4 linked regions of the Elephas maximus indicus genome follow. The protein of the gene in region 4 interacts with the protein of the main gene of each other region in a pairwise test. Links are inferred from orthologs where the notes say so. Each region holds a gene or a part of one and is shown on either strand. Other genes may lie near its edges. The genes, in order: TNFAIP3, FAM53C, EPB41L3 and YWHAG.

Evidence for each region.
Region 1: the proteins of YWHAG (region 4) and TNFAIP3 interact in binary tests that used the Homo sapiens proteins (3 or more experiments, as listed by UniProt). The link is inferred for Elephas maximus indicus from reciprocal best matches to the Homo sapiens genes YWHAG and TNFAIP3.
Region 2: the proteins of YWHAG (region 4) and FAM53C interact in binary tests that used the Homo sapiens proteins (3 or more experiments, as listed by UniProt). The link is inferred for Elephas maximus indicus from reciprocal best matches to the Homo sapiens genes YWHAG and FAM53C.
Region 3: the proteins of YWHAG (region 4) and EPB41L3 interact in binary tests that used the Homo sapiens proteins (3 or more experiments, as listed by UniProt). The link is inferred for Elephas maximus indicus from reciprocal best matches to the Homo sapiens genes YWHAG and EPB41L3.

Annotation. Positions count from the first base shown.
Region 1 is NC_064819.1:207,624,453-207,632,294, forward strand, and holds the start of TNFAIP3 (tumor necrosis factor alpha-induced protein 3), read left to right. Parts: upstream 1-4,840; 5' UTR 4,841-5,088; intron 5,089-7,842. UniProt on the Homo sapiens protein: Ubiquitin-editing enzyme that contains both ubiquitin ligase and deubiquitinase activities.
Region 2 is NC_064820.1:151,427,159-151,434,302, reverse strand, and holds the start of FAM53C (protein FAM53C), read right to left. Parts: upstream 3,017-7,144; 5' UTR 2,795-3,016; intron 2,748-2,794; exon of another isoform or gene 2,340-2,747; intron 2,326-2,339; exon of another isoform or gene 1-2,325.
Region 3 is NC_064829.1:23,598,154-23,605,759, forward strand, and holds the start of EPB41L3 (band 4.1-like protein 3), read right to left. Parts: upstream 3,016-7,606; 5' UTR 2,712-3,015; coding exon 2,651-2,711; intron 1-2,650. UniProt on the Homo sapiens protein: Tumor suppressor that inhibits cell proliferation and promotes apoptosis. Modulates the activity of protein arginine N-methyltransferases, including PRMT3 and PRMT5.
Region 4 is NC_064830.1:94,202,777-94,210,666, forward strand, and holds the start of YWHAG (14-3-3 protein gamma), read left to right. Parts: upstream 1-4,877; 5' UTR 4,878-5,085; coding exon 5,086-5,172; intron 5,173-7,890. UniProt on the Homo sapiens protein: Adapter protein implicated in the regulation of a large spectrum of both general and specialized signaling pathways. Binds to a large number of partners, usually by recognition of a phosphoserine or phosphothreonine motif.

The sequences.
Region 1 (7,842 bases), on a different chromosome or scaffold from region 4:
AACAAGTAGATTCCAACTCGCTGTTCAAATAACCGGAACTAATTTATCTCAGTTAACATCCACCTTACTGCTACATCCACCACTGTACACCACTGGTTCCTAATGACACCCACTTCAGGGTTTTCTGTCATCGTGTTCGATCTGGTCATTAATAACAGCCTCCACAGAAACAGAAATGAAACTAAGTTGAATCTTTATATGCATGATGTTAGTAAGATTACTGTGCCAAGTGTTCCAGCCAAGTGTTGACAGGAAATTAAGCCAGAATTCACAGAGGGAATGAATTTTCTGACATGTGTTGGATTTCAGCATATCATGCTTTCAGGCAAAGTGAAATAAGAAGAGCTGTGCTTGGCATTAAACCAACTGCCTCCCAGCCAGTGGCAGGACTTTGTTCCTATCACTAGTGACTCAGTGACTCATTGGGTTACCCTAAATAAATCCCTTCACCATGGGGTTTTCAGTTTCTCCATTCATCCCAGGTAATCCCTATAAAGGATCTGAGGTCTCTAGATAAGAAGTGACATTTCCGTGGAATTTGGTCTTCATATGATACGAAACCTATGGCCTCGTAATTGCAGCTCTCAGCGTAGTTATAGCCATAAAGGCTTCTATTGTATTCTCAGAAGTAGCATTTGTAGCACTGATAGCTGCTGTGAGAGTACAGGCAAACATTACTCTTTCAGAAATCACAAAACTCAACCAAGATTTATTGCAATTTGAAGCAGGATTCAGAGCTACCCTGCAATAACTAAACTGCCAAACTTACATAAGGCTGTTTCAAAATATGTTTAATATGGATCTTGCTTTTCAATATAATGCAATTCTGGGAAAGGGAGACAATTGTACAACTGACACAAAACATCTGATTCTAGTTTGACCCATGGTTGTCATCTCTTGGAATTTTGTACACTCTCTGAACGACACTATTGCTGACTCTTGATTAAGGGAAGGCTCACGAGCTGCTGTTTGACCTGACCTAGATTGGGTCCCCTTCCCGCATGTCAGGTCCCTGGGTGGCAGAAACAACTTGTGCTCGACTGTTAGTCAAAAGATTGGCAGTTCGAACCTATCCGGGGGCACTAAGGAAGAAGGGCTGGTCAATCTGCTTCTATAAAGATTACTGCCAAGAAAACCCTATGGAGCAGTTCTGCTCTGTAACACATGAGTTGGAATCAATTTGATGGCGCCAGATTTGGTTTGGTTTTCTCTGTGTCACATCTGCCTCTCTTTAGCCAGGTTTCTCCCGCTCCCCGCTATCCTGGGCTGCACCTCTTTTTCATTATTTGGTATAAGCATTGGAGTTCCCAGCGTGGTGCAAACGGTTAATGTGCTCAGCTGCTAAAGGAAAGGCTGGAATTTGGAGTCCACTCAGAGGCACTTGGGAAGAAAGGCTTGGTGATCTACTTTGAAAAAATCAGCCACTGAAAACCTACAGAGTTCTACTCTGACGCACATGGAGTTGCCATGCGTTGGAATCGACTTGATGGCAACTGGTCTGGCATAAGCATACAGGCTGCAGGCACCGTCCCACAGATAGTATCTAATGTCAAGAGGTTATGTGTGCCCACTACACGAAGTTCATGACATATGAATGCTGGCAACACAGTCAAAACAGCACGTACGTCATGAACTCTCCAGAGCACTGCACATAATGAGAATTCCCCTTTCCTCTCTCTAATAAGAACACATTTTTCTCCTACGTGTCTACCAGATATTAATAAGCATTCCTTCCCCTTTGCAGAGCTCTGTTCATCTTGATAAGGTCTGTAGCAGAAATCAGAGTCCTAGCAGAAATCAGAGTCCTCTGCAAGGCTTTTGAGCACTCTATATCTCCTTGGTTTCGTTTCATCCCACAAATCTCCTTAAATTTTATCTCCTCTTTCCCATAGTTTCTCTTTCTCACTCTCCCCTCTTCTACCCTTTCTTTCCAATACTCCACCAAGAAAATCTTCACTGGTCTTGCCAACATGCTAAATACTGGAAAAGGGAAAGCTATGTTGTCAACCAAATGGAACCTAAGTACACATCTTCACCGAGCTCATGGCTCTAGCTTAGGGGTTAGGGGTGGGGCAGGAATGAATGAGCTCAGTAGTAGAATTATGGAAAATAGAGGTAGGGAACAAAACTGAGGGTTGCAGACCACTTCTGGCTGCTATTACCTCATCACAAATATTGGCAGACACAATGGCAAAGTGGCTACCTTGGGCCAGTGGGAAGTGGTAGCCGTGAATCTAGCCTTTTAGGCTTGTTCTGTCCTTTTAGGTTACTCTTCGTTATTGCATTCCTAGCTCATCAAACCAAGGAACAAGATAAGAGGCAGAGAAGGATCAATGGAAGTTAGGAGGAACAGAGTCCCTGGGTGATGCAAACGGTTAACACACTCTATTGCTACCAGAAAGGCTGGAGGTTCGAGTCCACACAGAGGCACCTCAGAAGAAAGGCCTGGTGATGTACTTTCATAAAATCAGCCATTTAAAACCCTACGAGCACAGTTCTACTCTAACACACATGGGGTCACCACGAGTCAGAGTCAACTCAATGGCAACTGGTATATCAGGACACAGAGCAGGTCAGAGCCAGATAAAGAGAACAGGCAAGGTGAGAGTGGTCTGAGGATTAACATCCTAATAGGATGTTCTTTTACACACATCATCTTCTTTTATCATCTCAACAAGCCCAAGAACTTTCCTGAGCGTGGAACCAAGGCCTACCTGGCTCCCAAGCCCACGTTCTGCCCAGGGTCCTTGTTTGCTCAAGTGCCTACAGTGTGTGTGGGAGGCAGGGGGCAGGATATTCACAGGCCTGGGCTCCAAGACTTTATATCTTGTGGGATATTTCCTGAAAGGCATAGTCTAATACTTAAGACTTAATAGTGTGGGCTTTGGAGTAAGACAAGCCCAGTTCCAATCTCAGCTCTGCCACTTAATTGTTGTGTAGACTTTGGGCAAATTGCTTAAGCTTCTTAAGCTTCGAATTCTCACCTCCAAAGTGGAGTTGTGAGGTTTAAATGGCAGAACACATTTCAAATATTTGGTCTTGAGCCTAGCGTGTAGTAAGTACTCAGTAAAATCTGTTGTTGTTATTATGTTATTACATTACTAGCTTGACTGTTCATTGTTTTGAGTACTGGCAGCTGAAAACTTCGCGAAAAAGAAGGTAACAAATACTAGGTTTGGAGCTGGAAAAAAATGCCAACGTTAGTTTAAAATGACCAGAGCCAGCCTTGGGACTGTGACCATTACTGACTCTCTGCTTTAAGTCTCCTTTTGCCCAAAAAGTGCCACCTACCAGCCAACTCTTGTTCTGGCCTCTGCAAATCTATACCGGGGAGAGGAAATACTTTTCTAATTCAAAACTTGAGATACGTGGCTTGACAAGCATATTTAAGTACAGTCAAAAGGCTAATGGTAAAGAATATTTCAATCTGACCCTAACTTGGCTATTTTAGGAAGGAGGCCTATCGGGCACCTGTGCTTTGAGGGCCCCAAATCCCACTGCCATGGAATAGATTCTGACCCATAGCGACCCTATAAGACAAAGTAGAGCTGCCCCATAGGGTAACCAAGGCTGTAATCTTCCTCCCGGAAAGCGACTGGCTGGTGAACTCAAACCGCTAACTTTCGGTTCTTACAGGGCATCAAGGTATAAGCGCCCTAACGTCCCTCCCTGCACAATTTACGCACCTCCATCGCTCAGGTGGCTGACATCTTTACGTGAAAAAATGCAGTTACCACGCAAATAGCACATGGGGGGAATAACAAGGTATCTTGGGGCGATCTAATTATCACGACTTCTAAAGAAGACACACCTAATGAGGCCTTAGGAGGGCATGGCAAGGTCAGTAATGGACTAGAATCGATTTCTCGACGGAATGTGATGCCACCCAGGCGCTTGACGTGCAGAAATGGAGAAGGGGAAACCGCGCAAGTGCCGGGGTAGGGGCCGGATTGTTCTGAGTCCTAATTTTATCCAAGACTGGCCTTGTCATGGGATACTCAAGGCCACAGGGCCGCAGGCAGGGACAGATTACCCAAAAACAAAGTACGCAAGGGCTTACTTGTGCTTATTTACCAATCCTTGGTGCACAATTTCAGCTGCTTTTCACCATATTAAAGACGTGGTGAAACCCATGTGAAATTGTGCACCAGGGCTCACGACGTAAACACAAGTAAACCCCTGCGCACCTTGCTTCCTGGTTAATCCGCGGCAGGGAATGTCGCCTCAGGCCCGCATTCCACCCAGCCTGGGGTCGAGGTAGACAGGAAGGCTGTGGAGGGACCCAGGGCGGGTACTTCTTGTCTCCAAGCTCCGCTGCGGCCAGGTCTTGGGCTCTCCCCTAGTGCTCCCCACGTGCGCAGCCCAAGCCTCTCTACCCCCCGGCTGCGCAGCTTGCGGTCCCGGGCGCCAGGGTGGTTTTCAGGGTTTTCTTCCTCTATGATTTCCCTTCTTCTTCTCCACAACTGATGATTTTCTGCAGAAAATCTGAGAAAAAGAACCTACTTCATTTCCAGTTCCCATCACCGCGATTTCCACATGGATGTGACGTTGGGCCGAGCTTCCGAAATGCCCAGGTGACTCACGCGGGGACACCCCGGGGCGGGGCGCAGGAGTTTCTCCGCGCGGCCGGCCGGCGGGGCGGGGCGGGGCGGGGCGGGGCGGGGCGGGGCGGCCGGGAGGGCGGTCGGCGGGCCGGGCTGCGGCCGCGCGCTCGCCTCCTGCGCCCTCTGGCGGCGGGCGACTCTTCGGCCGCGAGTTCCCGGCGCCGGGCCTGGCGTCACGTGACTGGAAAGTCCCCGGGTGGAAATCCCCCGACTATCCGCAAGCCTAAAACAGAAAGGGAAAAGAGAACTGCGCAGTCTGCAGCCTGCGCTGTGGGCCAAGTGCATCCGAGCTCGCGGGGGCGGAGCGTCGGGAGCCGCCGCCGGGAGATCTGCGGCAGCTGGCAAGATCCACACCCCCAGCCTGCCGGCCAGCGAGCGAGCGAGTCTCAGTCAGCCGTCCATGGGGTGCTGCTTCGCCCTGGCCTCAACGCGCTTGCCCTAACTGGGACTTGGGACTTGGAAGAGGATCGCACTCCAGGGAGAGGTAACCGTCGCGGCACGAGCTCATCTGGGGCAAGGGCTATGGGTGCGTCTTTGGCAGCGACTGTCGAGCTTGCTGCATCTGCTTGGCATTGGTTTTGCAGTGGTTCTGGAGGGAAGTTTGTTGGCCGTTTGTGCCCATTCTAGGTGTTGAAATGCTAGGACTTGAGGTCGCCGAGCCAGATGTTGGGGTGACAGCCCTGGATCCCCCATCCAGCTGATCCTTTGCAGTAATGCAGAGAACTTGAGCTGCAGCTGACTGCTGAAGTCAGCTTTGTTAGATGGGTCATTGGTGCTTTGCTCCTTTTTCTGTCTTTTTTGGAATTAAGCGTTGCATGCTCTTGGCCACGTAGACCTTGCAGAACCACTGTGACGTCTGCCGAGATTATGCAGAACCAGCCCAACGGAGGTGGCAGGTCGCAGGGGCAACAAAACTCAGCCTGTGTGGGGGGCTTCGGTGAGCTAACCTTTCCAGGGACAGCTTCCAGACAGTGTTCTGTGCAGGAGAGGTGGGGAGGATGGGTTCTTCTCTGAAAGTTGCAGCAGTGTAAGAAGTACGCTGGAAGAAGTGGGTTGCCCGTCTGTCTTTTGGGGGCCCCAGTTTAGAAGCCATCTGCAGGCCCCCCGCACCAGTCACTACCCCACAGTCAGACTGTCACTCAGCCCAGGTCGCCCCACATCCTGCCACCTGGGCTCTCAGGAAAGCAGTGGTATTAAGTAAGGAAGGAGCTCAGCTCATTTTGAGACCACTTTGTTTTCAGTTCTCCCTGCCTCTGATCTTCCTTGGAAAGCTGGTCTGGTCAAGTGTCTCTGGGCAGCATTTGGGAGAATTGTTATTAATTGATTAAAGAGCCTGCTGGACTGCAACTCTAAATGCCCCTGATTATTGAGCAGCACAGTTAGTGCACCATTCTTACTGTCTAAGGTGCTTCTTTAGGTTTTGCAGTTCTTTCTGCAATGTTTGAATTTTTTGACAGGTACTTTCCAAAAATCTGATGAGATGTTTGCTGATAAATAATTCATAAATTTCCACACTGCAGACAAAAATGTCTGCCTAGAGTGGAAAAATAAAACCAGGGGGAGAAGACTTTGAGCAATAATAAGTTCTGTAGAATCTCATTGCCTGTAGTGACAAAAATTGGGAAATTATCTTCAAATAAGTCCAAGTGAGGTCACACAAATGTTAAAAAAAAAAAAAGGGTAATGTTGTATTCCTTTGACCTATAAGGATATTACAATCATATGACAGATACTTATATTTATGTGTCTTGCGACAGTTGACAGCTCTCGCTATTTTAGATGTTGGCTGAAGGATCTTTAGGTTCAGAAAAGCAAAATCGAAGAGTCAGAAAAGCACAAAGAGGCAATACCTAGCTTGTTTAAAATCTTACTACTTACTGCTTGCCTGTTTCCATGGAGAGTAGCAGGCACTGTAGCCACAGGTGTGGTGGCATCGGACAAGCAAGAGGCAAATATTGGAAGACTTAGACGCTAGGCAAGGCTCTGCACTGGGTAGCTGTAGGACCTTGAGCAGCGGGTCCCTCTGCTTCTGTACCTTAGCTGCAGACTAAGGTAGTTGTATGATTTCAAAGAGGGGAATAAGGTCGTATTTGATTTTTGGCCCTTGCATCAAGCGCAGTGCTGCCTTCAGTAGGTACTCACGTAGGATTTGTTAAATGTATGGATGAATGAATGACATTGTGAAAGAAACTTTTGACATGCTGCAAGGAGAATGTGTGTGTGGTATTTTTGTCCCTTGATTGCACCCTGCAATTATTCTGCCCAGCTCACGTGCAGGGGATTGCTTACATGAAAGGAGAGGTCACCATCTGACCAAGAGATTGACTCGTCCCAGGCTCCACTTGACAATCAGATGAAAAATCCTGATCCAAAAATACCATCAGAAAACTCCTCAGAAGCAGCCCCTGCCTAGTCCAACCTCTCTTCTTTGAGCGAGCCATAAGGATTTAGAATACCTTGTCAATAGCTATGAGGAGCTTGGACCCTTTCAGGAGTGGCCTCCTGAAAACCTACCTAAAATCTTCTTTTCCCTCTTGTATGGGTTTAATGTCTTTCTCAACTGGAGGCTTGTCCTTGCAAATAGTTTGGGGTTGAGAATGGGATGAATTGCTGCCAGGAAACTTCCTAGGAAATATCTTCGTGCTTTGAAGTCAATTTCTTCATCTTTTTGGAAATTAGCATGTGTAGGAAGGCACCCTGGCCCTCCCCCCAAGCGCTCCACTGGCAAGATCCAAGTTTCATGGATTCATGTCATTCCACTCTTTTGCCACGGGTCGTAGATGCTGGTCTTTGCCCCTGTTCCCCTTTCACTTGTCTTGTGAGGCCCCCTGGCTGAAAGTTATTTCCTTGTCTGCCTCTAAACTTTTCATCTCTTCCCACTAGTTTGAAGATTTTAGGGTAAAGGAGACGGTGGTAAGTGTATCTTGAGTGTTGGTTCCTGAAGGACGAGGATGAAATTTGGTTGGCCATCAAATCAAAATAATTGAGCTCCTGTCTGCTTTTGGGAGTGCAGAATGTATTTATTCGATTATTGCGCTGGGTCTCTTTATTAGTCCGGGGTCATAAAAATTAGTGGAAAGGCTCTGAAAGACCTCCGACCATTCTTAAAAATGGCCGTGCAGCTTGCTGAGAATAGGCTTTTTCATTGATTATAAAACACTCCGTTTTAATTCTTCATAGATGTTTTTCTTTGGGGCTAAAAAGGAAATATTAGCAGCAGCCTAAGTGACAGCATACA
Region 2 (7,144 bases), on a different chromosome or scaffold from region 4:
GACTCTCTCGGAGTCAATTTCTGGTCAGAAGCAAACCAACTCATCAGAGAACAGGCTTCAAGATCACACAATTGCCTGAGGGGCCTTGCTCAAGGGAAATTCGGAGGTTAACCTAGTGTCACAGTGGTACCATTCTGCCCACTCCCAAAAATGACAAGCAGGAAGACAGTCCACCAGAATGTGCAGATAAAATTTGCTAAAACAATAACAACAAAAAAAAAAACCCTTGCCATAGAGTCAAGTTCGACTCATAGCATCCCAAAAGCACAAAGTAGAACTGCCCCACAGGGTTTCCAAGGAGCGTCTGGTGGATTCAAACTGTGACCTTCTGGTTAGCAGGTAAACTCTTAAGCAGCTCCTAGAGAGAACAAAGGATCAAAAAAATCTAAATCTTAATCCAGCTTCCTCTGACAGTTTTAGCAAATCATTTAACCTTCCTTGGCCTCAGTTTACCCATATGTAAAATGGGCACAATAATCTTAATCTGTACCCAGGGTGGAAATAACATGAAACGTGAATAATGTACAAAAGCATACCACCTGGCCTGTATGAATCAGGAATCCACATAGACTGCCATTTCTCACCCCTCGTTTGTTACTCTGCAGAGCCTCGGGATACCAGAAGCGATGATATCATTAAGATGAAGAAGGCAATAGAGTCTGTCTCTCTGGCTGTGTACCAACAAAAGCCCAAGAGGGCTCTTCTGTGACCTTGGGGCAAATCACTCTCTACTTTTTCAAAAAACAGAGAATCATCTTTATTCCATTCCCACCTCAGAGAGAGGCCACAAGGAAGAGCAAAGGAAAACATGTGAATGTAGTTGGAGTTTTTTGGAAAAAAGGTGCCAGAGAAGTCAATCATCATTATAGTTAACTGTCGTTATCATGCATAATTATTAACGCTCTGAACAAAGTCCTAGTTTCCTGAGAACTCACTTTAGTTGCTTACACTACGTTCTTGTGGCAGAAGCTAACGCTTGTATCACTTCTGCTCTTGATTTCTTAACTCTGCCCCCAAAGATCAATCGGAGAGGGAACCTAACTGCAGGCTTTTACCCCAAAGACCCCAGGCCTCAGGCTGACCGGCCATGAGGAGCAGGGAGTGAGGCCAACTCTTTCAAGCTTTTCATGAGGCATTTGGCCAAACAGCAAACTCCCAGCCCTCTCTGGGATCAAGAGAGTGATTTTGTGTTTTCCTGCATTTTAATTGTTGGGATGTGGCCACACACAGCGGTAATTGGAACAATGCAACTACCACCACGCAACTGATACTCTCAGCCTGAGTTTCCTAAAACAGGCCAGGCTGAAAGGGGGAACAGAACGGAAGCCATAAGGAATCAAACCAGGACACAAAAGAAGGCAAACCAGCTCCGCGAGGGGCCTCCTCTTTCTCAGGCAGGCTTTGAAAAAAGTATCTAAAAAGCCCTCTCTTGGCCGCCTTCGTTCCCCTTCCATTTTGTATGTCTGAGGGGTAGATATAGCCCTGAACGTTCATGAAACAAGTTAAAACTTCTCAGCTTAACAACTGGCACAGGGATCAGCCCTTCACTGAGCAGCAGGCCTCTAGACTCTCCTCACAACCCCACCAGGTCCAACTCTCAGTCCAGGCTTTCCCTCCTCCACAAGCCCCCTAAAATAAAGATCGGACCCCACTTCATCTCCCATACACGGCAGTAACCAGTGACACTCGGGCCTAAGGGATGCTGAGGTTGTGCTGAAACCTCGAACCTAAGATTAAGTCAAGCCAAGGGGAAGAAGAATCACATATCCCCTGGGGACCTTCCCCCCAGGTCCCAGCCCCACACCTCTGGGGGAGACCAAAGAAAAACATGAGAGGCAGAGAGGTGCAGGCACAGGTAAGAGGGGACCTGACTGCTCTTCCTCCATATAGCTCTGGTGGGGATAAGGGTGACAAGTGGGGTGCACCCCTCCCCCAACCCCGATGAAGAAGCAAAAGGTAGGCCCCCTCCAATCTTCCACCTCTCCCTCTGCTGCCCTGCCTGTCCCCGCGGGGTGGGGCATAGGGCGTCCGCTGGCCCCTGCGGGGCGGGGGTGGGGAGGGCCAGGGCTAGCTCAAGGGGGTTGTCGTTCGCCTCTTCCCACTCAGCTTCCATCATCTGGCCTCGGGAAGCGTACTCAGGACGCAGGGGATGGAGAGGGTCTGGGACCTAGCACTCAGTTACCCCCTCCCCCACCAGGTCCCGTGCTCTCCCCGCGGAGGCGGCCTGAGAAGCCCGGCCGCGCGGGCGGCTGGGTTGGGGGAGGGGAGAAAGGGAAGAAGGAGTGACGGTCGAGGTGCCCGCCCCAAGGCCCCAGCACCACCTGCCCTCCGCCACCTACCGCAGCTCCCCCAGCTCCCAGGGCCGCGGCCGGAGCAGCTCTGAGCGTTCGGTTCGCCCCACGGTGCCCTTAAAAGGCGCCGGCGCGAACCAATGGGCCCCTGAGGAGAGTGGGAGGATCGCACCAGTTCAAAGAATCCTCCTGAATCGCCCGCTGGGGCTTAAGCCCCGCGTCGTTTCCCTCTCAAAGTCTTTCTCGGATAGCGCTGTCAGGAACGAGCCTGGCGCTTTGATTTAGGATTGAGGATGGTTGCCTCCCTATCGGGTAACCCCCCCTCAAATATTGCGGAAGGTGGACGTGCCCAGTTGGAGGCATATCTAGAAACCCGCGGGTGAAGCCGTACCCGACGAAGGTAAACAAAGCCATCGCCCCCGCCCTCCATTTCTCCATTGGCCCAAGTGCAGCTTCCCACTTAGTTCGGACCGCGTAACAGAATTAGCCGAGGCTCCTCTCACCTGTTCTTCTGTCCCGCCTTATACCGCCGCCTCTGTAAAGGAATCCCCTTTCCTGCTGCGGAGGACCGGTCCGCAGCGTAAAGGCTGCTGGGACGTGTAGTCCAAGTGCCGATTAGGGCCTGCTCTGAGTCCCTGGAGCCCCTCTTCCAGCTGCTGGATCGGCTCGAACCTTATAAACGCAGCATTTACAACGGATGCGGGGCCGTTCCCACTAGATTCTGTAATTAGCCTTCAGCCAGAACACTTTGTAAAGCTGAGGAGGGCCTAGGGCTGTTCACTCTTTCTCCTCCCTCTCCCCCCCGCCCCATCAGGATGAGGTAATGGGATTGTGATTATGACATCATAGGCGGTTCAGTTGCTTGCGGGGGTGGGGGGTGTGGAGGGGTACAGTGGTTACATCTGGACCACTTTTTTTTTTAAGACCGAGAGGGAGGGAGGGAGCAGATGGGGAAAAGATGTTGACGGCGCTATTTCCTCTTGAGGATGAGGAAAACCACCTTCTTTTTAACTCTCTCCCACCACCACCACCTCCCACCTCAGCCGAAGTTTAAATTCTTTTCAAAGAGACTGAAAGTAGTAGAAGGTGAAGAGGTTGGGGAACAGTTAGATGGTTTCTGGCTCTTATGTAAATTTGAGTCTCAGCTAGCATCAAAGATGGTTCAGAGAGACAGGCAAACAGATGGAAAAAGAAGAGGTTTTAAACAATGCCTTTGGGTTGTGATCCCTTTGTAGGGTAGAGTTTTAGATTTCTAATTGATTGGAAAGTGGTAGTAATGCAAGTAAGTCCCCTGAAAGACATCTGTTTTCTGTAAATATTTTGTGCCCCACTCAGGAGTGGTACAGGTAAATTAGCTGTGTTCAGCTAGAAAGTAGTCATTGTAGGGATCTTCCTCATTGAGCCATGGAAGGGAGGAGGCAGGAGCCACAAAGTCAGCTAACTGAAAAAGAATAAAGGAAAAGTGAGGTATTTATAAGAAAGTGGGAGGGGGATATACCTTGCCATGCACATTTCCCCTTGGTGAAAAAGAAGCAGAGGCAGGGACCATGAAGCATAGGAGACACTGTTTTCAGTAATAGCTGTGAAGCACTTATATGTGCCAGGCACGGTGCTATATAATTTAAATAATGTATTCTCATTTTTGCTTACAATCACCAAATGAGACAATAAACAGCCCAAGAGGTTGAGTGCCCAAGTGGTGGGCAAAGAACCAATTATGAGCCTCTAAAGCCCTGGTTATGTAAAGCACTAGGCTATATACCCCCCACTTTTTTTTTTAAATTATCCGTGCTTACAAAAGTTAAATGACTGAGTAAAAGAAGTTAAGTTAGCATTGGCTAACTTGTAAAACATTGAAAGAATTTGAGACGTTAAAAAACAAAATCAAACAAAAACTGAGCAGATTTCAGGCCTCAAAGGAAGGCTATACCCCCTCTTTCATCAAGGGTAAAATAGCACTCAGTATAGCCCAAAGCTCCACCTCCATTACTAACTATAGTTAAATCTCCTTCTTGTTAGGTGCCATCGAGTCGATTTCGACTCATAGTGACCACATGTGACAGAATGGAATTGCTCTATAGGGTTTCCAAGGCTGTAATCTTTATGGAAGCAGACTGTCTCCCATGGAGCCACTGGGTGGGTTTGAATAACCAACCTTTAGGTTAGCAGCCAAGCACTTAACCATTGTCCCACCAGGGCTCCTTTTAAATCTCCTTATACCCTTCTCTTAGTTCTCAAGTTTTTAAGTCATGACCTGTTATTTTTTTTTCCAGCTGCTTCCTTTTGTTCTTGGGATGCTACCTTGAACTTCGTCTTAATTGTGCCCTTGGGCTAGACCTCATCTCTGACCCTGCTCCAGGGAGTTTCAGCAGAGTATACTACCTGGTCTCCATCCAGATTCTCGAAGAGTTTCAGGGCCTGGAGCCAGTCATCCAGTAGATTGTCCAAAGGGGTGGAGTCCATTGGCTCTAAGAGACTCTCCATTCCCTGTCTAGGAAGGCAGCAGAGTCAGAGGAACATGCCTTTTATTCAGACCCTCCCTTTTCACGCAGTGAAAGATAAACCTCTGCAAAGTGGGGAGATGTGGGGCTCAGCCCACCACTCACTGAAGGAACCAGAAATAGTCAGCACACCCCAGAGCAGCCCTGCCCTGAAGGGGCTGACTGGGCGGATCCCAGGAATGCAAGGCTCTTCTCCAGTGCCTGTTCTGGGCATCCCAGGAGCGATGGCTGTACTGTCTGTTCTTGTTTGGCGTCTGAGGTTGAAGCCCTGGCTGTCGCTGTGCCCTGGCAACAACAAATGTGGGTCAGGCTGAGGTCAATATGAAAGGGGGCCCTGTATAGCAGGGGGCACAGCTCACTACTTATCACAATGAATCAGGAGCCTAGTTAGAAATTCCCTGAGAATGAGTAAGACCAGTGTCCTCAATCAAATAGAAAAAGTAGATCTTCAGATTATACACCAAACTTTCAGCCTCACTAATAGCCTTTCTTCTGGAAAGGGTAAATTAGATATATTCTTGGAAATCAAGGTAGACATAAAATATTTGACTTCCCTTTAAAACAAATGTTCATTTTCATGCATTTAATTTCTATGAGTGTGTGTAAATTTACATGTACTTAGGCAAGTATGTTGCAATTACCAAGTCAAGAGGAGGCATAAGAAGACGATGGTAAAAATGGTTGGAAGGAAAACCACCTCATTAGGAAACACAGATAGAGCTTTAAAAAGTCACATGGAGGGGCGGGTGGGAGAGGAAAATCGGGGATATTAAGAGATACAGAATTTTTGTTAAAGACTGTGAAAAAAATTGGAAACATGATGATTGTTGCACAACATGGTGAATGTAATTAATGTCAGTGAATTGTAGACAGAAAATTGTTGAAATATATATCTCACCACAATCAATTTTTTAAAAAAGCCAATGGACCAAGTATGTTCCACTTGAAAAAAAAAAAAACCTTGGAAATATTAGGGCTAGATTACAAGAAATTTAGTAGTTCTGCAACTTTGTGAGCACATTCAAAACACTCAGATCCTAGTATCTTTCCATCCTCTGAACCAAAGCAACTTGGTGGGCACCCTTGTTGTGACCACCCCACAATGAGACTCATGTGGAGACCTGCTGCAGAAAGCCCTGGTAGCCAGGTGTGCTTTTGCCATAATCTATCTGCTTTTGCCGTCGCTGCAGGACAATGTCATATGTCTCTACTGTGGGGAAGTACACAGTGCCCCACAAAGTGTGATTTATAGTCACCAAAGCAGAACCAACTCATCCCATACTCTCTTAATTCCCAGCCTGATTTGCAAACTCACCTGGCATGGCGTGACTCTGTGCTGACTCCTGCATTCACCATCTGTATCCCAGAAGACAAAGACTCCTCACACATCTCCTTTCTAGAGAAGCAGATTCTACAGATGAAGGGAGTATCAGGGAGTAACCAGCTGACTACAATGCTTCTCAGCCACCACCACCACCAAGATTCTGACACCAGATAAATGTGGTATTTCTGACTTATTGTTTTCTCAAAGATAAAGTTGCATTTCTGACTTAATGTTTCTCAAAGTGTGGTCTGCGAACCATCTGCTTTGGTAGCACCTGGGGGCCTTGATCATTCCTGGGCCCCATTTCAGACCTATTGAATCAGTATTTGGGGCTCTTGCATTTTCAAGAGCTTACAAGTTTATTTTAAACTTTTATGGGAAATTTCAAATAATACACAGCAGTGAAGAGAATAGCATAATGCCTTGGGGCAGTTTGAATCCACCAGCCACTTCTTGGAAACCCTATGGGGCAGTTTTACTTTGCCCTGTAGGGTCTACGCGTCGGAATCCACTCAACAGCAATGTTTTTTCTTTTTTAAATGCTACTCAAAGTATAGTCCTAGGATTAGCTGCATCAGCATTACCTAAGACCTTGTTAGCAGTGCAGAATCTTGGACCCCAACCCAGACTTAGGGAGTCAGAATCTGCATTTTAACAAGATCCCAGGTGGTTAGAATGCACATTAAACTTTGACAAGTACTAGTGGGCGTCGTGTACCAATCACCCATCACTCATGGCCAATTTGTTTCATGTATACACACCGGTTTTCCCTACCCCATTATTTAAAAGCAAATCCCCCAAATTATGAATAACTTAGTATCAGCTGTTGTGTACTGTCGACTGGATTCCAACTCATAGCGACCCTATATGACAGAACAGAACTGCCTCACAGGGTTTCTTAGGCTGAAATCTTCAGGGAGCAGACTGCCTAAAGATTTAGGTTCAAACCCCCGACCTTCTCATTAGCAGCCAGGCGCTTAACCATTGCGCCACCAACCAAAAAGAAGGAAACCCGTTGCCGTGGAGTG
Region 3 (7,606 bases), on a different chromosome or scaffold from region 4:
ACAGGTAGACATCCTTCTGGTATTCTCTGCTTTCAGCCAGGATCCATCTGACATCAGCAATGATATCCCTGGTTCCATGTCCTCTTCTGAAACCTACCTAAACTTCTGGCAGTTCCCTGTCAATATACTGCTGCAGCCTTTTTTGAATGATTTTCAGCAAAATTTTGCTTGTGTGTGATATTGATGATATTGTTCTATAATTTCCACATTCAGTTGGATCACCTTTCTTGGGAATAGGCATAAATATGGATCTCTTCCAGTCAGTTGGCCAGGAAGCTCTCTTCCATATTTCTTGGCATAGATGAGTGAGCACCTCCAGCGCTGCATCTGTTTGTTGAAACATCTCAATCGATATTCCATCAATTCCTGGAGCTTTGTTTTTCGCCAATGCCTTCAGAGTAGCTTGGACTTCTTCCTTCAGTACCATCGGTGCCTGATCATATGCCACCTCTTGAAATGGTTGAATATCGACTAATTCTTTTTGGTATAATGACTCTGTGTATTCCTTCCATCTTTTTTTTTTTATGCTTCCTGGATCATTTAATATTTTCCCCATGGAATCCTTCACTATTGCAACTCGAGGCTTGAATTTTTCCTACAAATTAGATGGTACAAAATTCCTGTATCTTGAGGTTATTAATGATAATTAAATGAGACTCATGTAAAGTCCATAAACCAGCACCTGATAGAGACTGAGTGATGAAGATGATGGCGAACGTGAAGGTGACGGTAATTCTGCAGTTCTGCACACCACAGAAACTGAACCAGGTCAATACGATGAATCTACCAGCTTGTTTTTAGAAAAAAAGTACTGGCCAAACCAGTAACTATTTAGGCTGCACAGCCAGCTTCCCCCAACCCACCACCCAAAAATGAAACAAAACCAAACAAATAAAAAAAGCAAATAACCCCCAAATCAAAAGACTCCTCAATAGCAGGCGGCCATAGAAAGAGAGGGGGCGGAGAGCTGGTGGGAAGACACACTGACCCAGACACAAGGTTGCCTGGGAAGTAGTAGTAAACATCTTTGTTTGCACTTTCCTATTTTTAGGATCAGAGGTTTCTGAAGATTTCCTGAGCACCTCACAAATAAAGTGTTACCTTCAGAAGATTTCCTAGGTCCCAGGCAGAAAGAAGATTCACAAAACTCGGCTCATGATCAGTTTTAAAAATTAGGTTCTGGTTACCGATTCTTACTGGAAGAGAAACTGAGATTTCAGGATGACCGTGCAGTTGGTCATCATTCATAAGGAGGGAGAAGAAAAGACCTGAAGGAGCACAGAGGAAAACACTCAACCTGAATCCAGAAAGGAAATTTTATATGTGGAACTGATGAATCATAACATAACCCAATAGGCAAAACAGCTAATTAGGTGGTAATTGTGTCAAATCAACAACTCACAGCTCAACAGATTAAACTCAAATGACACACATTCCTAAGGATATTTATGGGTAACTAAATCATCTAAGATAAAGACTCTCTAATCACTTACACCAGAGTAGAAAATCGCACAAACATCAATGCCAAATTTCATGCTAATATTCAATACAATTTTAGAAATTTCAAAAATAACTGAGGACAACAACAAATGTCTTTGCTTCCAGCAAGTGAAATCCCGCCATCTCAGCCTGCTAAGACAGTGACACGGTAGTTTGAAATGTATTGAGAAGAAGATTCAAGATAAAAGTGGAATTGATAATCGAAACACTGACTCTCTAAGGAAATATCTCGACCGATTTCTTTTTTTCCAGGAGTCAGCCATACTAAATACTTTAATAAAAGCATAAAAAGTATGGAACCAGTTCTTCTATAATATTATGCCATTCAACGGCTTTCCCCCACACTTGTTTCCCACATCCTCAGGAGCCAGAAAAAAAATGTATTTAAAAGTATATATTTTTTGTAGTCAAAGGCTGCCTGTTATCCAGCCTCCTTTTTCCACAGCAAGGATTCCACCAGCAGAAGTACAACCTTCTTTCCCAAGCCTGAACCTTCACGCAGAATGCAAAAGCACAGGACATCATAATTGGTCAGTTTCAGAAAAAAAAGTTGGAATTTGATATTGAACAGTTTTGCTACCTTGAATGGTGATAACATCTATTAAAGACTAATGGGCCTGAGAAGACTCATGACTCATTTAATGTAAACCCCTCAATTACGCACCATTTCTGGTGGGTTGATATTAGAAACAATGCCAACATCACAAACATAATCACATTTTTATCTGTCATAAATGGTAAATATGATGATATGAAGTGTATTATTTATAGAAACAGCTGAACAGCCTTAAAAAACTCCGTTTCAAGCTACACTGGTGTATTTTCAAATTGCTTGTCGTAAAGAACTATTATTAAAGATGGTATAACCCAAAAGAAAGAAAGAAAACCAACAGCAAGGGTTTAAATAGCAACTTCTGTCATTGAAAATAATTCATCTTTGTTTCATTTGAGTCTGGGTCCTGCTAATAGTACGACTCAGGATTTCTCCCTCACATGCAAGAGGATCAGCTGGAACAGAGGCACATATGGCAAGGCCTGCACACAGCACAGGGTGCGGGAAGATAGTTTTCCATCAAACAATTGCATTTGGCACTTTTCTTCTTCCACAAAGAGGGAAATCAGCAGCTTAAACATTAAATTCAGAACTCACCCATGTTATTCATGTTCCAAAGCCCCAAGATAACATTTTTCCAGAAGATGGGCAGGTCCATGTTCCATGTTCCAAGAAGCAGTGAGACAGGAAGACAAAAAAGGGAGAGAGAAAAAACATTTTAGGAATAAACCAACAAATGAAGGTGACTTACCCACAAACTAAGCATGCTGATAAGAGTTCCCTCCTTTCAAGAAACTTCCCCACTGCCAAGACATGGTGGATTATGGAGTAAGTTGTAGAAAAACAGGGTAGATAATTCATAAGAGATCCAAAGGGATCTCTCTTTAACCTTTTCATTAAACACTCACAAATAAAAACCACAGTTGAATATGCAATAGATGTTTCCAGAAAGATGATATGAAAGAGTTGTATGAATGTATAGGAACATAAAAATAATTAAAGCAAGACTGGACTAAAATAGAGAAAAAAAAACTGCTTCAAGGTAAAGACTTAGGTTGACTAAATATAATAATCAGAAAACTCAGTAAAATGAGTTACATATTCCACCAAGGATTTAACTAAAATAAATCTAATTAGACAACAACAAAGATTAGAATGTATAACCCAACTTAGAGGTGCTTCAGATCAGAACCACAGAATTTGGCTTCTTCAAAGAAAAGACTAAAGAAGTAGTATTATTATCTTTTTTTTTAAATCGAAGTCCAGAAAAAAAATTTTTTACATAGCACAAAATTTCTAGGAGATGAAGATGGCAGAATAGCCAGATGCTTCTGGTGATCCCTCTTACAACAAAGACCCAAAAAATCAAGTGAAACGATTACATTTATGACAAGCCAGGAGCCCTGAATATCAAAGGCAAAGTTAGAAAACAGTCTGAGAGGCAGAGGGAGAAAGAGACGGTTCAGAAACAAAGAGGAGTTGCCAGACCTGAATCGTCGGGATCCCTCAGGCACCATTCCCGGATGCAGCAGCAGTGGGCTGATAGTAGCGTTCAGCCGCAGTTTCCCCAGGGAGAAGCAGCCAGCTGCACAGCCTACTCACACCTCCAGAGCCAAGGAAGAACGGCACTCTCGGCAAAAGCTAAGTACTTGCGTATATTTTACTGTGCCCCCAGCTCTTGGCCGGCTTCTGTGGCTGGTGATTTCCCCAGGCCTGAGAGAGGCCAATCTGAGCACATTGAGCCATGCTCCCAGCCTTGGAGAAGGAATAAATTCACAACTGGGGGAAAAGATAATTTGCCAGCTCCACCACCCAAGGGGAGCTCAGGACAGAAGTGGCTCCTGTCCAGGCATAAATGATCCGTGGACTTTGAATACCTTTCCCCCCTGCATGGAACTGTGTGGGCTGATTTGAGGACAATAGGCCCTTGATGGCAGACTGCAATTGTTTAAGCTGTATGGTAGAGAGGTGGGTGTTTGATATTTGACTCTGCTTTGCCTATTAATAGGGTCCTCACCTACCCACATCAGGGGTCTAAAGACTGGTGGCTCCACTCAGGTCACCCAGCCACCTGAGACAGAGGCCTAAGGATAATGGGTACCTCCGAGTCCTTACAAACAAAAGCACTGGGTGCCCATGGTCCATCTGCAGAATCCACCCACCTGTATGCTCTAGGGAACAGGGACACACTTTCCTCACAGACACTCAGGGAACAGTTCTCAGCCCCCTGCCTTGTTCAGAGCATGACCCCTGCTGCAACTAGATACCAGTACCTACACCAAACACCCCTACCCCTCTAAGATGGTAGGACAGAGCCTGTACCACACACTTGATGACCAGCTACCCAGACACCTGAGCTGAATCCACACAAGAAAAGTGAATGAACTCATAAGCTCATTTACCTGATAAGAGCTCTAGCCATGTGGTGACAGGATATCAGAGCTCCAAAGGCGAAAATAATCAAGGTAGCTCACTCAAGCAACCCATTTGGGCATATCAAAACAAAACAAAGCAAGAAACTAGGATACAGTAAGCAAACATAAAATAAACTAATACAATGACTTATAGATGGCCCGGAGACAACAGTCCATATCAAACCACATAAAGAAACAGACCACGATCTCTTCAATGAGCTCTCGAAACAGAAAATCAAAGGATCTCCTGGACGAAGGTGCCTTCCTGGAATTACCGGATGCAGAATTCAAAAGATTAATATATAGAACTCTTCAAGACATCAGGAAGGAGATCAGGCAATATGCAGAACAAGCCAAGGAACACAAAGATAAAGCAATTGAAGAAATTAAAAAGGTTATTTAAGAAAATAGTGTAAAATTTAGTAAGCTACAAGAACCCATAGAGAGACAGCAATTAGAATTTCAGAAGATTAACAATAAAATTACAGAACCAGACAGCTCAACAGAAAGTCACAGGAGCACAACTGAGCAAGTGGAAGGCAGAATCAGTGACCTTGAATATAAAGCACTTGGAACGAATATATTTGAAGAAAAATCAGGTAAACGTATTTAAAAAAATAAAGAAAACTTAAGACTCATGTGGGACTCTATCAAGAGAAATAACCTACGAGTGATTGGAGTACCAGAACAGGGAGGGATAACAGAAAATACAGAGAGAATTGTTAAAGATTTTTTGGCAGAAAACTTCCCTGATATCCTGAAAGATGAGAAGATATCAATCCAAGATGCTCATCGAACTCCACATAAGGTAGATTATAAAAGAAAGTCACCAAGACATATTAAAATCAAACTTGCCAAAACCAAAGATAAGAGAGAATTTTAAGAGCAGCTGGGGATAAACAAAAAGTGACCTACAAAGGACAGTCAATAAGGACAAGCTCAGACTATTTGGCAGAAACCATGGAGGCAAAAAGGCAATGAATGGGATGACTTACATAAAGCCTTGAAGGAAAAAAACTGCCTGCCAAGAATCATAAATCCAGCAAAACTGTCTCTCAAATATGAAGGTGAAGTTAAAACATTTCCAGATAAACAGAAGTTTAGGGAATTTGTAAAAACCAAACCAAAACTACAAGAAATACTAAAGGGAGTTCTTTGGTTAGAAAATCAATAATATCAGGTATCAACCCAAGACTAGAAGACTAGACAGAGCAATCAGATGTTAACCCAGACAGGGAAATCACAAAAATAAAACAAGATAAAAAAAAAACACTCAAAACAGGGAAACAGCAAAATCATTACGTAAAAGAAGACAACATTAAAATAACAAAGAGGAACTAAGAAACGTAGTCATAGATCTTTCACATGGAGAGGAAGACAAGGAGATATAAAGAAATAAAAGTTACATTTAAACTTAGAAAAATAGGGGTAAATATGAAGGTAACCAAAAAGGAGAATAACAATCCTACCCATCAAAATAAAATACAAGGAAAAAATAGAGACTCAGCAGAAACAAAATCAAAGACACAAGATAAGTATGAGCCCAACAGGCAGAAAGGTCCACATAAACCAGAGACTACATTAACCTGAGACCAGAAGAACTAGATGGTGCCCAGCTACATCCAATGACTGCCCTGACAGGGAACACAACAGAGAACCCCTGAGGGAGCAGGAGAGCAGTGGGATGCAGACCCCAAATTCTCATAAAAAGACCAGACTTAATGGTCTAACTGAGACTAGACTGACCCCTGAAGTCATGTTCCCTAGACCTTCTGTTAGCACAAGACAGGAACCATTCCGAAACCCAACTCTTCAGACAGGGATTGGACTGGACTATGGGATATATAATTATACTCGTGAAGAATGAGCTTCTTGGATCAAGTAGACACATGAGACTATGTGGGCTCCTCCTCTCTGAAGGGGAGATGAGGGGGTAGAGGGGGTCAGAAGCTGGCTGAATGGACATGAAAACAGAGTGGAGGGAAGGAGTGTGCTCTCGTTAGGGGGAGAGCAGTTAGTAGTATGTAGCAAGGTGTTATAATTTTTGTATGAGAATCCGACTTGATTTGTAAAATTTCTCTTAAAGCACAATAAAAGTTAAAAAAAAAATTTCTAGGAGCCATTGTTAGTCTTACAAGTTACAATAATTGCTCTATGAGGTAAGAAATTTCACAGCATAAAATCACATAAAATACATTTTCAAGGAGCTGGAACACCCCAGACTGAAAGCTCATGCATCATGGGCTTTCCACAGAAACAGTCACCTTGGAAAACCCGTCTGCTACTAGCTTACGCAAGGACCCTGTGATCTTCAGGTCCACATAGGCCTCCAGGACCTCTGGCTTACAGATGTACACTACTAATCAGGCCCATCCAAAGTCGCCATCGAAGTGCTGCTTGAAACTATGTGGCTGCCCTGTGCAGACCCAATCTTCAAAGGAAAGAATGAATAAGCAAACAACCGATGTAAAGTTTCATAAAGGCGGCAAATTTAATAGAACCATCAGCTATTAACTCAAGAAACTGATCGTTCCATCAGCACTCAACTGCTAACAGAAAAGTTGGAGGTTTGAGTCCACCCAAAGGTCCCTAAAAGAAAAGCCTGGTGATCTACTTCTGAAAAATCAGCTACCAAAAACCCTATGAGGCAGAGTTCTACTCTAACACGCGAGGTCACCAGAAGTTGGAGTCGACTCGACAGCAAATGGTTTATCAGTAGCTGGTAGGATGAGGGTAGGTGCCTAATGGTCATTGGAAGCAATCATAACAGCCCTGCCTACCAAGACCACAAATGAGCCAGTCGTCAGTACCGACCACATAGCCCTCCAAGACTACAGGGAAGCTGCCCTCTCCTGAGTCCTCCCCATTCTATCCTCATCCACAGACACCTTGGAAAGAGTCTATGCAAGGTCTTCCTAAGGTCCTTCAGATATTTTCAAAGTTAATAACTTGGGATGTGAACCAGTGTTGTGTTTTTAATCTACACTCCTTGCTCCTGGTAGTGAATGGTGGATTTTCTTCTCATTGCAGGCATGCAAGCTTGAATTCTACTGGCCGAAGATATAGCTGACCTTCTCTCAGACTCTAACTAATGCTATTCGCCAAAGAATCAGAAAAGGGAACACACTGGTGCATAAAT
Region 4 (7,890 bases):
CCTGCCCTGTGCCCTTGTGGCAGGTCAGTCACCAGAAGGCAAGGCCTCTTCTTTCCTGAGCAGGTGCCAAGGGCAGATCCTCGTAGCCTGGGCAGGGAAGGACACCTTTATTAGCGGGAGTCCCGAAGCTCTGCCTGGGTTGGAATTCAGGCTCTGTCAGTCACTGGCTGTGTGAACTTTGGCTGGTCACACAACCTCTCTGAGTCTCTGCTTCCTTGACTAAAAAACGTGGTTGATCCTGAGTCTCTCAGCCCTTAGAACTCGACCATCTCCTAGGTCTGCAAGCACAGACCCCTGTTTCCACAGCTGAAGAATTCCAATAGCCTTCCATTTTAGAAGAGGAACATGCCGAATCTAGAACTATGACTCATCACATTTAGTTTAATTTCAGTAGGGAAATTAAGACCCTCAGAGGGGACAAGCCTTGCCCACAGAGCTGGGAGCAGGCAGAAGCCAGATGCTAGTTCTCCACCTCACTTCTCTAGATTTCTTTTAGCAGAACTAGGCAGTAGAGGAGGAAACCAGGATGTTAAGCCATTTGCTCTGTGTAATGTTGCCATGCCTCTGAGGCAGCCCTCTAAACAGCCAGGGGCTGCTGGGCAGCTGTAGCTTTAAGTCTAGAGTCTTAAAAAATTAAAAAGGAAAGGAGGGCAGGGCCAGCTTTCTCCTGCACAATTAGAGGGAAGCCTCGATATGGAGACTGTAGATGTCATTCCTATTTGGCTTTGCAGCATCATTTTCTTTGCATCTGTTTTATTTTTTCCCAAGTAGGTTTGGCCTGGGTTGTTTTTTAAGTGCGTTGGACTGGTTGGGAAAGGAACTAGGTGGAAGAAGTCAGAGATGTAGCCCAAAATGTGCCACGGAGTTCTGAGATTTAGCATCTAGAGCCAAGATCAGTGACATGTTTAATTCACAAACTGACAACCAGGATTGGATATAAGGGTTCACTCCCACTGGCCTCGGATGCCCACGGCAGAGTGGTTCATGCCTGGCCTGCAGGGAGGAAGAGAAAGGAAGAGGAATAACTTGGTGAACAGTCATGCAAGAGCAGAAGGAAGTAGGAGGGTTTATTCACCAGCAGGATTGCAGTTTGCTGGGTGGTGTGGTAAGAGAAGTGGGGCCAGGCTAGATCCAACGTTGGAAGATGGGGAGAAGAGAGCTATTTCTAGGCTCTCTCCCCACTCAGTCCATCTCCTACACTTCTGCTAGCACAGTCTCCCCAGAGTGCATTCATTCATTCATTTCACATGTTCTATGTACTTACTCTGTGCCAGGAACTGTGTTAAGTACCAAGGATTCAATGGTGCTGAAGAAGACAAAAATGCAAATCTGATCATCGTTTGCACTTGTTAAACTCACTCATCGGCTTCCTATTTACTTTGGAATAAAGACTTAACTTCTTAGCCTGGCATTCAGGGCTTCTCGTGTTCGTGATTACCATCCCAGCCCCATTACCTATCACCTGAGGGTACCAGACACATCAGATTCTTTGCCTACCAATAAATATGCCAGGGAGGAACCTGAGAACCTGCCTCTAAGCCTTGCTATTTGTGCCCTCTGCCTGCTCTTTCTTGTCTAATCCTACATATCCATTAAGGATCAGTGGGAAATGTCACCTCCTCCCTGGAGAACCTTTTTAGAATCTTTTCCTGCCTAGCCTGAAAGAATTAAAAAAAAAAAAATTATAGAACTTAACACATTCTAAATCCCTTAAGTGATACCATGGTGTGGCAATGGCGTAGTGGGGGTGTCATCCAACCGCTTCATCTAACTTCACAAGAGGAGAGGAGAATCAGTATCAGCACCAACAGCCAAGGCTGATTGCTATGAGGTGGAGGTCAGACATATCTCCTTGTCCAATCTTTTTACCAATTCTGACACCAGCCGTCCCTCCCATGGCACTCTCTACCTCTCCGTTGGGTTCAATGATTCGTTGCAACGGCCACACAGAACTCACAGATCGTACACACAGTTATGGAGTTTATTAGGAAAGTTTTGTTGTTGCTGGGTGCCGTCCAGTCAGTTCTGACTCACAGCAACCCTATGTACAACAGAACAAAATACTGCACAGTATTGCCATCCTCACAATTGTTGCTATATTTGAGCTCATTGTTGCAGCCACTGTGTCAATCCATCTCTTTGAGGGTCTTCCTCTTTTTCAATTTTCAAGTATGATGCCCTTCTCCAGGGATTGGTCCCTACGTAAGACGAAGTCTTGCCATTTTTGCTTCTAAGGAACTTTCTGGCTGTACCACTTCCAAGACACATTTGTTCATTCTTTTGGCAGTCCCTGATTTATTCAATATTCTTCGCCAACACCATAATTCAAAGGAATCAATTCTTCTTCGGTTTTCCTTATTTTTTGTCCAGCTTTCGAATGCATATGGGTCAGGCGCACCTTACTCCTCAAAGGGACATCTTTACTTTTGAACAGTTCAAAGAGGTCTTTTGCAGCAGATTTGCTCAATGCAACATGTCATTTGATTTCTTGACCGCTGCTTCATGGGCACTGATTGTGGATCCAAGTAAAACGAAACCCTTGACAACTTCAATCTTTTCTCTGTTTATCACGATGTTACTTATCGGTCCAGTCGTGAGGATTTTTGTTTCTTTATATGGAGGTGTGCTCTATACTGAAGGCTGTAGTCTCTGATTTTCATCAGTAAGTGCTTCAAGTCCTCTTTGTTTTCAGCAAGCAAGGCTGTATCGTCTGGATGTCAAAAGTTTGGTAGTCTTCCTCCAAACCTGATGCTGCATTCTTCTTCATATAGACCAGCTTCTCAGGTTATTTGCTCAGCAAATAATTTAATAAGTATGGTGAAAGGCTACAATCCTGAGGCACACTTTTCCTGATTTTAAACCACACAGTGTCCCCTTGTTCTGTTCAAATCACTGCATCTTGGTATAGTGAAGCAACAGGTTACAATTCAGGATCAAGAACAACTCGGGATACAGTTCTTTGGTCAGGACGGTCTCTTCTCAGATCAGAACAGTCCCTTGGCCCCTCAGTCTGGCCTTTGTCCTGCTCGGGCAAGTGTTACAAAGCTGTTTTGCTCTGCCAATAAATGCCCAGGGCCACCCTACTCTTCAGGGAAGCCTCTGGCCAGAAGTCACTCAGCACACCCACTGTAACAGCCTTACTCCATGGGCCAGGAAGCCCACTGCGTCATCTGATCACCTGGTTCCTGCTGTCTTGTGCCGCTACCACTCTCGCTGCTGCTGTGCTGCTGTATTTCACTGTCTTCCATGTTAGAGCTCCTCCCTATCTCTCTCCATGTCTCCCTTTAAGCTTAGCAGAATGGCAAAATTGACCAATCCCCTCATTAGGGCTCCATACACCTTATTTGCATGGTCCCACTTCTGCAAGGGTTCCATGCACCTTACTTGCATTGGCAGCAAGCCGTCCAATCCTTTTAGTGGTCTACAAGCACTTTATTTGCATAGTTCCACCCAATCATTGTGTGGGAGTCACAAAGACTATGGCTAAAAAAAAACCCAGTGCCATGGAGTCATTCCGACTCATAGCGACCCTGTAGACTATGGCTAGAAGGGCCACATTAAGTAATTCATTGCACGAACGTGCCCTCTTCCTCCAGCATCCTAGGGCCTGGAATATTCCCTCACACAAACTCTTTCATTCTAGGTTCTCATAACACAACATTTCACATCATCTATTAATCATTTTCTAACATACTTTACGTATTTATTATTTATCTTGTCTTTTCTGTTTCTATGTCTAGAATGTTAGGTTACACATGGGCAGAGATTTTTGTCTGTTTTGTTCACTGTTGAAGACCATTGTTTAGAATAGTGGTTGACACATAGTAGGTGCTGAATAGGTATTTGTTGAATAAATTAGGTAAGTAAAATGTGCAGTCAAAACTATGGGTGTCTGTGAGACCTATATGGAATCTCACTGAAGAGAACCATATGGGAAAGAATCTGTCAGCCTAATCTCGGTGTGTATGTCCCAGGAAGGGAGAAGGACTGGGCAAACTCAGATCATAGCCCAGGGTTAGGCACAGCATAACTGTGAATTGAATCTTGAGTACTGGGCCCTGGAGAGGAAGAAGGAGCTTTCCAAGGGTCAGCCTCCACACAGTTGCATCTTTTCTTAAATTAACCAGTATGCTGGGCTGATATTTGTCCTTCCTTATTTTCACCTAGTCGTAACCAAGAACTTCAAGGTGGGCATAGGGAGCTGGAACCTTGGCGGGGTGGCTGATAGTCCAGGGTTTGGCCCCTTAACTCAACCATCCTGCGGGCTGGCACCACCCCGACAGTATGGATCTACAGCGGATGCGCCCTATCCCTTTCTCCACTCCCCTCTCTTTTCCCCCCCAAAGGCCTGTTGCTTTATTTCGGAAACAGAGACCCTTGACCCCTCCCCTCATAATTTCCCGAAGAATACCCGTCGGGCCATGAATCAGCACTCCCTAGGATTGATGCAGTCCTCATCCCCGCCAGGGGTCCCCAGTGACTGGCAGATTAGAAACCTCCCCAATCCTCTACCGCCCGCGCGCTACGTCCTCTGGGAGATGTAGTCTTGACCGCCCCTTTGTCCTTGGTCTGCCCAGTGGTTCGCCCCCGCAGGAGCACGAACTACAACTCCCAGGGGCCGTTGCGCCGCGGGCCCGGCGGGGCGAGGGTCTGAAGGGGGAGGGGGGAGTCTGGAGGTGCTGGGGCGAAGGAACAGGCGTGGGGAGGAGAAAGGGGAGCGTTGCGGAGCAACGGGGAACGGGCGGACGGTCGGAAGACCGTGGCTAGTAGAGCCGCGGAGCTGAAGCAGGAGAAGCTGACGGCGCCAGGGAGGGGCCTGGGCGGGGTGCGCGCGGCGGGCGGGACCCGGCGCGTCACGCGGCGTGGGCGGGGCCGCTGGGGGTTGTCCTCTCGCCGCACGCACAGCAGCCGCAGCCGCCTCGCGCCGGTCCCGCGGTCGCAGCTCGAGCCGCAGCCTCTGCCGCCTCAGCTGCTCTTTTCGTGGGTCGGTCCCTCCGGCACACGGGCTCCCGCCGCGCCGCAGCCGCCCTCCAAGCCTTTCAGGCCGCCCCGGTCTCCTCATCCGGCCCGACCCAGCCCGCGAAGATGGTGGACCGCGAGCAACTGGTGCAGAAAGCCCGGCTGGCCGAGCAGGCGGAGCGCTACGACGACATGGCCGCGGCCATGAAGAACGTGAGTTTCCCCTCCCCTCGCCCCGCCACTCCCTGCCCTTTCTGAGACGCCTTCATTCGCCTTAGAGGCCCAGGGACTAGTCGCCTGTCGCGACTGCAAGGTGGGTCGCCCCTCCTCGCTTAGGGGGCCGTGGAGGGTCCTGATCGTGAAAAGCACCCGGGTTGTGACGCTGTCTCTCATCCCCGTCCCTGGGAGCTGGCGGCGCTGCCTCCTCGGACTTCGGGGCTCAGACCGGACCGGGGCGGGGTCTTCCGGGACCGTTCGCGGGCGCGGGGTCTCTGGCCCCCGCGTGCTCCGGGTCTGCTGGGGACCCGAGCGGGGCCGTGCGCATCCTTTGTGCCCCACTTCCCCTCCTCCCAGCCTGGGGCGTGGGGGCGGGGGACCGCATGGATGCGGTTCCTCTTTCTCTCCCTGGTGTTTGGGCGGCGCCTTTCCCATTCACTCAGCAGGTTTACTCTTTTTAGACCCCCCCCGCCCCCCATCTCCTTCCCCTCTGCCCCTCCTGACAGATCCTTTACAATCTCCCCCAGGAAAAATTTTAGGCTCTCCTGAAAACCTGGGGTCAATGGTGCAAAATCGAAACCTTCTTGATCACGTTTTTCTTAACAAAAGGCTCCTGTTTGTTCATTCCTCAAAGCAAGTCCTCCCTTTGGGGGGGGGGACATTTGTCTCACTAGCTTCTTCATTAATTGTTCTCAGCATGTCATCTGCATTTCCCCTAATGTTTTGTAATGAAAAGGGTAGGTATTGTTTTTAAAATAAAAGTGGTGGATGTAGCAGCCTGGTTAATTTGTGACATATGCTTTTTTTTTTTTTTTTTTTTAAATTATAGGCACGCGTATTGAAATTCCTGTAAGTTGGAAAAAAAAAATTCTGATCTGATATTGCAAACAAAGCGGTGGTGGGAGGCAGTATCAAGTCATTCCAGAAGATTCTGCGTTTGTCATATTGCAGAGAGCCTAGACTGGGTGGAGGCTGGGAGGGGTTGTTTAAAGGGGGAAAAAGTGTTTTTTTAAAAAAAAATTTTTTTTAGCTATATCTGAGGCTTTTTTTTTTTTTTTTAAGCTAGTGCACCCTCACGCTGATGAAAAGAGAATAGTGATCTCCAGTTGTCGCGTTTTGTTTGAGATGCAGATTTCTGCCTGTATTGCACCATTTTGTCAGTAACACCACATTTATCTAACGGGCTGTCAACCCGCTTGAGATGAGAGGAGGGGGGAAAGCATTGAACATTATTCAATATGGAAAAAATGATCTAATCATTTAGGTCTTACACTATCTTAATATTTAACTTTCTACATTATGTAACAAAGATAATTAAAATGCATCTCCAGTTTGAAATGGATGCACCTTGCATGTTAAATCTTTTTAATGAAGCAGTGTAAGTATAGTAGATTAATTCTCGAGTAGCTAAACTAGTTCACAAAAGATGACAATTGGTGATGCCTTTATATTTAAACCAGTTACATTAACAAAAAATGTTATCATTAAGGAAGGGATTTGATTCTGGGAATTGGGAGTATCCTGTTGCTTAATGTATTGCCACAGTTATTATTTTACAACATTTTAAAGATCAGATGATATAGGTTGCATTTTTAATGGATGCCAATGTTGAAAATATCTTTGGTTCATGTTATTTAGGCTCTTTTAATTTTTCCATATTTCTAGTTTCACAGGAAAGCGAGTGACCTCGCACCTATATCCATAGCAACCCAGTGATGTCACACACAATGACACAGAGGCTGCAATGCACCTAAGGGCTGGTAGGGAGTATGCAAATGGCATTTGTCCAAGGTAATGCAGACGTTAGTTGATAAACCTGGTGGGATTGAGCACTTCACCTTCCACTAAATAAAAATTGATTTGCAACGGAATGGTCCTATTGGTCCAAAAAATAAGTATTTCATTTACCCTTAGACATGCAAATCAGTGACCTCTAGATATGCTTTGTTCACTTTATTTCTCTCTCTTTTTTTTTTCAGACGAGTTTATCACATCCATCCTATTTTAAACACTCATCTCACTTAATTAAAAAAAATTGGGCAACGATGGAATAAAAGTATGAATTTAACAAAGGAATATGTTTTATGATCGTAGTGTGGGGGAGGAGCTTTGTACTGGGGTTTTATTGAAAATTAATAGCTTGGCAGATTTTGATGAAAAACCTAAAAAAAAAAAAAAAAGACTTCCTACTGGGTCATTTTTAGTAGCTCTTAGAGGATAAGAACCCATTACAAACCAGTTATTAAATTCATTTGAGGTTGGGCTTTGGGAAAATTGTCTTGTTGTATTTGTGCTTCTGCTACTTGACAATATGGAGGAAAGACAGTTTGTAAAATAAAACAGACCTATTTTCAAACCTGTTTACTGTGACTTTGAGGAAGTAGGCTGACCTCTGGCCCTCATTTTCCTCATCTGTAAAGTGGGGCAATACCTACTTGAAAAAGTTGTGGTTAAATAAGAAAATGTAGGTGCTCAAAAGCGGTAACTATTTATGAAACTTTGTTTCTTGTTTATAAAAATGATTTCATTATGGAGAATTTAGATAATCCAGGAAGGTATGAGGAAAATACTCAGTGCTGTCACTCAAGTGAGCTCTCTTTGAAGGTGGAAATTTTCCTGACGCTAGAGGGATTCAAATTTATTTGTCTTTATGAAATTATCCCAGTAATAACAGTGTTGGGATCTTTGTAGAGTGTGATAATTGTATGTGGGTGA